2 linked regions of the Canis lupus familiaris genome follow. The protein of the gene in region 1 interacts with the protein of each later gene in a biochemical or structural test. Links are inferred from orthologs where the notes say so. Each region holds a gene or a part of one and is shown on either strand. Other genes may lie near its edges.

Evidence for each region.
Region 2: the proteins of NMUR1 (region 1) and NMU form a complex in vitro, tested with the Homo sapiens proteins (2 studies listed by BioGRID). The link is inferred for Canis lupus familiaris from reciprocal best matches to the Homo sapiens genes NMUR1 and NMU.

Annotation. Positions count from the first base shown.
Region 1 is NC_049246.1:43,581,368-43,584,553, reverse strand, and holds part of NMUR1 (neuromedin-U receptor 1), read left to right. Parts: intron 1-335; coding exon 336-1,224; intron 1,225-3,186. UniProt on the Homo sapiens protein: Receptor for the neuromedin-U and neuromedin-S neuropeptides.
Region 2 is NC_049234.1:48,653,475-48,657,485, forward strand, and holds the start of NMU (neuromedin-U), read right to left. Parts: upstream 2,846-4,011; 5' UTR 2,817-2,845; coding exon 2,726-2,816; intron 1-2,725.

The sequences.
Region 1 (3,186 bases):
CTCAACCACTGAGCCACCCAGGTGTCGTGGTTTCTTTTATTTCTTAGCAGGACATGAAATCATGTTTCTCGGGATCCCTGGGTGGCTCAGCGGTTTAGCACCTGCCTTTGGCCCAGGACATGATCCTGGAGGCCCCGGGATCAGTCCCACGTCGGGCTCCCTGCATGGAGCCTGCTTCTCCCTCTGCCTGTGTCTCTGCCTCTCCCTCTCTTTCATGAATAAATAAAATCTTAAAAAAAAAAAAAAATCATGTTAGTGTCGCTGGCCCCTTCGGTCTCCTGGATCCCCAGGGATTTCCGAGTGACTTTTCTGGGCGTCTCTGTTCTGTTCCACAGGCTCCTCTCTGCTTCAATTGCTCCATCCTCCCCGGAGACACGTCCCCACGGGACGCGGGGAGCCTGGTGCCCTGCAATGGCAGTCGGGCGTTGGGGCTTTCTGACCCCGAGGACTTAAACCTCACCGACGAGGAACTGAGAATCAAGTACCTGGGGCCCCAGCAGACAGAGCTGTTCGTGCCCATCTGCATCACGTACCTGCTGATCTTCGTGGTGGGCGCCGTGGGCAACGGGCTGACCTGCGCGGTCATCCTGCGCCACAAGGCCATGCGCACCCCCACCAACTACTACCTCTTCAGCCTGGCGGTGTCGGACCTGCTGGTGCTGCTCGTGGGCCTGCCCCTGGAGCTCTATGAGATGTGGCGCAACTACCCCTTCCTGCTGGGCGCCGGGGGCTGCTACTTCCGCACGCTGCTCTTCGAGACGGTGTGCCTGGCCTCGGTGCTCAACGTCACGGCCCTGAGCGTGGAGCGCTATGTGGCTGTGGTGCACCCGCTGCAGGCCAGGTCCATGATGACTCGGGTGCACGTGCGCCGTGTCCTCGGAGCCATCTGGGGCCTCGCTGTGCTTTGTTCTCTGCCTAACACCAGCCTGCACGGCCTCCAGCAGCTGGAAGTGCCCTGCCGGGGCCCGGTGCCCCACTCGGCTGTGTGCACCCTGGTCCACCCCCGGGCCCTCTACAACCTGGTCGTGCAGATCACCACCCTGTTCTTCTTCTGCCTGCCCATGGCCACCATCAGCGTGCTGTACCTGCTCATCGGGCTGCGGCTGCGGCGGGAGCGATTACTGGTGCTCAGGCCGGAGGCCAGGGGCAGGGCCGGGTCGCGCGACAGCTGCAGATTTCCGGGCTCGCAGGATCGGGGGCGGACACAGGTGACCAAGATGCTGTGTAAGTGCTGCTACCGGGAAGAGAGGCGGGGCCAGACCCTGGGGGGTGAGGCTAGAGCTTCCGGGACCTGGGGGCTGAGGGTCTGGGTTTCCGATGGAGGCTGAGTGTGAGGTCTGGAGTTACCCCCCTCCCCCCGCCCTGTGTGTGTGCACGCACGTGTGTGATTACTCTCTGAGAGACTCGTATCAAAGATAAATGGCAGTATGGGCCACATAATTTGTGGGGGCTGAGGCAAAATGCAAATTTGGGGTCCCCTGTTCAAAGATCATTATGACTGTCCAGAGAGCAATAGTCATTAAACTAAGCCCAGGGTCCTTCTAAGCTTGGAGGCCTGTGCAGATGGTGGCAGAGGGTGGCTCACCCATGCAGCTGGCATTGGCTCGTGGAATCAAACTCACAGACTGGGCAAGGGCATGTGGCTGGCTTCTGGGAGGGCAGAGCTGTTCGTGGGAGCTGGACCCTACAGGTCTCTCATCTTTGCTCCTAAACATCTCTTTGCTCCGAGGCCAAGGGCAGCCTGGGAAGCATAGCCATGGGCACAGAGTTCCTCTTTCTTGAGGAATGGCCCTCTTCTCTTAATGGCTGTTGAAACGTCCCAGGTAAGAATTCTGATTGACAGGCTTAGGTCATGGCCTGCTCCCAGGCCAGAGTGGCAGGATGCCGAGGTCTGTAGCCCCCACACGTAGACTCACATGCTGGGATCTGGGGGGAGCAGAGTTCCCCAGAGAAGGCGAGCAAGGTGTTGGAAGGGCAAGATGATAGGTTTCCTCCATGTAGTACCTGTGGGTCCTCGAGGACCGCGGGGATGACTGTTGTCTAAAAGAGGCTCATCAGGAGGTGTGTTTGTGAGGGTCAGTGTGCAGAGCACAGGAGAGTCAGGGCAGAGGTGTGGATGGGGGCAGGCCAGCTGGGTGGAGGCTCTGGGTCTTACTCTTCTCTAGATCCGGCCCTTTTTCAAAATCAGAGGCTCTGAGGAAGCCAGACTAAATGACACAAAGCCAATTCACGATTTCCTCCTCAACCTGACCCACCCTCGCAAGGCCTGAATCAGGTAGATGGACTGAGCCAGGGCAAGACAGAGGTAGTGAGACCTTGGTCAAAGCCATGGGATTATAGCCAGCTCACTGGGGACTGCCCTATTCCCAGAAAGAGACCCATTCTTCTTGTGCCCCAGTAAGTGTCCCAAAGCCAAGGCCACTTGTGCAGCTCCCTAAAGTGGACTGACCCCAGAGTTCCAAGCTTGCCTTTCAGCTCTGCCCTGTGAAGCCTGCCCTACAGACCCCCTGCCCCCTCTGCCTCTGCCTCCTACTCCTTTGCCCTGCAGGTACCAAGTCTGCTCAGCTGGGATGGCCCTCACCCTGGGAAGCTGGGGTGGTTCCTTCAGGGATGGTGCCTGGCTTGCTGGCCTGGGGCTCTGGCCTTCTCTCCCTCCCTCCCTCCTTCCCCCCAGCTTCACTTTCAGAGGGCCATGGGCTGGGGATGTGGGCTAGGGATGTTGTAAGCAACATCCTGATGGAAATCCCAGATGATGAGGGAAAACCGTGCTGGGGTGTGGTGGGGAAGGCACGGCAGGGGAAGATAGGCAGTTGGAGAAGCAAACACAAGAGATAAGAAACAAAAATCAAGGCAAGCCCGATGACAGGCATGACTGGTTGACACTACAGCTGAAGGGAAGCTCTGGGAAGCTGGGTGACGTCTTAGCTAAGAGTCACCTAGTTCCAGACTCTTGTGATGGGAGAGCCAGACTGGGCCAGCTTGGCTCACGCGCCCACACCTGGTCCAGTTGACTGTGGCTGGGAGTAGGGCAGGGGCCCACTGCCCAGGCAGTGACAGTGGTGAGACCAGCCTTCCTGAAGGGCGTGCTGAGGCTAGGGTGGGCAAACTTCCAGAACCTTCCAGATGGACAGTGGGCGTGGGTGGCAAGGTGAGAATGACCAGACTACCGTGAAGCCCAGGGAAGGC
Region 2 (4,011 bases), on another chromosome or scaffold:
CTGCAGAGCCACCCAGGCATCCCCAGACTTAATTATTCTAAAAGTGGTGCTAATTTTCTTTCCTTGTTGCTAGCACTTAGCTAGTGTAGGGTTCCAAAGTGAGAAATTGTTACTACTGACTGAATTTTAAGACATAGTCAATGAGCAGGAGTCTGAATTTTAAGACATATTCAAAGAGCAAGGGTCTGAGTAGGAAAAAACCCTTCTTAATTTAGTCTTGGGCACTTTGATCACTTACTGTCACAAGCCAAATCAAGGTTTGTTGCAGTTATCCAAAATGTTCCCTCTTTTAGAAAATTTCTTTCTTTATTTTAATGATGCTCTTTGAATCGTAAACTGTTTCCATCCACCAGACTTGTGACTGGCTCTTTATCTTGCTGTTGCATGCTCTGCTAACTCATTTTGCCAAGGATGCTCCACTTTTTGACACTATTTTATTTTCCTACGGCTTTGTGATATTTGTTTTGTTGTTTTTAGATACATCCAGTTACATCCTGCATAATGATTAATCTTCATAGATTATCTCCCAGTTTTGATTATGTATGTCATGCTTCCCTTCCAATGCCATTTTTAGGGACTCAGGACTAGGGAAGATCATACTATGTTCACTCATTCCCCTCTCCCTCACATCTTTAGAGAGATAAAATTATTTTTTTCAATATCAAGAGCAGGTCTAAAGGGGAAAAAGATACAAAATGATAGTCTAGGGGGTTTCTGTGCAGTGGAAAAGGCATCTTGTCTGTTTGCTTGAGAAATACTGGGGATGTTTATGAGATGATTGGTCAGCCAGCAGAAACATTCTTTCTCAACATAAAACCCAAGACTTGTCTTTTGCGATGAATGGATAAAGAAGATGTGGTTTATGTATACAATGGAATATTACTCAGCTATTAGAAATGACAAATACCCACCATTTGCTTCAACGTGGATGGAACTGGAGGGTATTATGCTGAGTGAAGTAAGTCAGTCGGAGAAGGACAAACATTATATGTTCTCATTCATTTGGGGAATATAAATAATAGTGAAAGGGAAAATAAGGGAAGGGGGAAGAAATGTGTGGGAAATATCAGAAAGGGAGACAGAACGTAAAGACTGCTAACTCTGGGAAACGAACTAGGGGTGGTAGAAGGGGAGGAGGGCGGGGGGTGGGAGTGAATGGGTGACGGGCACTGGGTGTTATTCTGTATGTTAGTAAATTGAACACCAATAAAAAAAAAAAAAAAAGACTTGTCTTTTGCCAAAAAAAAAAAAAAGGCCTTCTACAGTTTCTGCTTAATCACCAGCAGCCTGAAAATTCCCCCATTTCTCAAAAAAGCAGTTATCTCCCACCGATCCAAATATCACTGTAATCATATAGCATGTAACATGTATAGCAGGTACATTTGCTTTACAGAGAAAAGGACACTTTTAAAACTATAATCATCTGCTTCTTTAACAAGGTAGATAAAGACTGCCACCCTAATTCTACCAAAAACAAATTAAAAACATTAAAATATTAACACTACCTTGCATAGGTTATGCTGTAGCATTGCTGGCTATGTGATGGAGAAGGTTTAGGTCTAGCTTCGGACTGCTAACATTCCATAGCCAAATGACCTCATTTTGCAAGCAGGAGAGCTCCTCCCCACCTCCTTCTCCAATACCCCCAGGAAAGGGGCCAAAAAACCAAAAATGATAAAAGGACAGCAATAAAAATAAATATATTGGAAAAGAATAGCTTCAGTTTCTCCACCTCTAATTGAAGGCTGGCCTGCAAGCTCTGAAAGGCCCCTGCAGTTACGGTTTCAAGTCCCCAGTGCTCTCAACAGTGATGACATGGTCTGCGCACCTCTGCCTCACCGCCAGGAGGGCAGAGGGAAGCTAAGGGAACCTGCTGTGGAGTTAGAAGATTCAGTCTTGGCAGGATAGTGGCTGGCCCTGGAGGGGACTCTGGATCAGAGGTGGGGGGCAAAGGATGGATCCCTCCAGGTAATCTTTGGGGAATAGGGGAGTGATCTCCCCGCTGGAACATACTGGGCTTCCTTCTACCTCGTCTCCCAAGCTGCAGACATCCCTCCCTGACCTCGATTTTGCTTTTTCCAGTTCTTTTCTCTGAGCCAAGCACTGGAAATCCCTATTTTATCAGATGGCATCTGCCTTCACTGGCTTTCGCTGCGGCACTGATTGAAAGCCCGGCTGGCGCACTTGCCTCTCCAACTCTGTGATACAAAGAAAGTCTCCGTTCTTTTTCCTGACCTGGTGCGTCAGAACCTAGAAAGGCACCGAGCGCACCCCCGTCCCCTTCTAAAGGGCCAGAAGGGGGCCTGTTTCGTCGCTCGGGGTGATCTGAACGCAACAGGAGCTCACTCCCTAAAGGAGAGCGGCGCTCTCCCGAGTTCACCGGCAGCAGCGCCAGGTGATCGGCAGGTGTCAAAGTCCAGTTCGGCTTTAGCCATCAATCCGGCTAGTCATTGCCACGAAAGGGAACGCACTTTAATTTTCGGCATGTTCGTTCGTTCAAGTTTTCCCGGGTCCGCGGGCCACGGACGTCCCGCGCGTGAGGGAGCCCAGCCAGGTGCGCGGGACCTGCGGGGCTGGGGGCCGGTGCGCGGCGCCGCGCGAGGGTCGTCAGAGGCGGGAAGCCGGGGAGCCCCCCCCCCCCCCCCAAGCCGACAGCAGAAAGGGAGGAAGAGAGCGAGGCAGGTGGCCCGGGGAAGGCGCCAGGACGGCGGGCGCGGGCGCTCACCTGGGCAGGTGCCCGCACAGCAGGCGAGCAGCAGCAGCAGCAGCAGCGGCGGCGGCGGGGGCGGCGCGGGCATCTCGGCCGCTGCGGGCATCTCGGGGCTCAGCGCGGCACGCGGGGCCCTGGCAGTGCCTCCGGGTCCCGGACGCGCGGCTCGCGGGGCTCCGCCGCCAAGTTTTAAATCTGGCGGACACGTGGGCTGGGGCGGCGCGGTCCCCACGCGCGTCAGCTCGCCGCCCACGCCCCCGGGCTCCGTCGCGTCACTCGCGACCCGCCGCCCGCCCCCGGCCCCCACCCGCGGCGGGACCCGCCCCCGGCCACTGTCGTGACTCAGGGCGCCTCTCGCTCCGGCCGCCCCGGGGCTCGGGGATGAGCCTGGAAACGACCCAGTGCACGTCCGTTCCCTGCTCGGAGAGGGTCTGGGCGGGGGCTGGAGAAGGAGCGCGAGCCCGGAGGCCCGAAGGGGCCGGGATCGGGGTTCTTACGCGGGGTGGGGGGGGGTCCTGGGACGCCCCTGGCGCACCTCTCGGGAAGGCCTCCTCTGCCGCACCCACTGTGCGCACCTCCACCTCCGCAGAAGCACCTCTGTCCCGCTCTTTCCTTCGTCCCCAGCTCCCAGCTCAAGCCCGGTGCGTACCGGAGTACCAGTGGTGACCCTGGTGTTCCCCCAATTCCTGCAAGATCTGAGATCATTTAGGGAAATGCAGTTATCTGTTGAAGAAGCTCGAGGAGAAAGGATTGCTGGGATTTGACCACACATACATTTCCAATAGGTCTGGAAGGTCTCTGGCTATCCTATGTGTTCCCAAGGTTGCTCGTTTTTCCATGCGTTTCTCCCGCGGTCCCTCCCCCTAGCTGTTGCTTTCTGATTTCTAGGGTGATGGGAACTCTGCCATCCCCCTCCATACTTTCCTTTACTTCCTAAGTGGAAATGTCCAGGAAGCAGCCTCTCTAGGACACTGGCTGATACTGTTTTAATTTCCTTCTACTGAAAGAGGGAAGACTGAGCTCATTTGACCTCCTTACGAAAGCAACACAGAGGAAAGGGTAGAAAGGAAGTACATTAACATTTCCTAAGGGACATCTTCCCCTGCTATTTAATTTAACACTCATGTCATCTCTGGAAGGTAAAACTATTATGACGCTTATTTGATGATACTGATGATACTTGGAGATTAAATTGTCTGCCCAAGGATATCAGCCTGTGGGAGAGACCCCTCTGCGAAGACCTTTCTTCTCTAAGCTGGGGATTTTAATGCACTAGAAATGCACTGTGCAAAGCACTATAG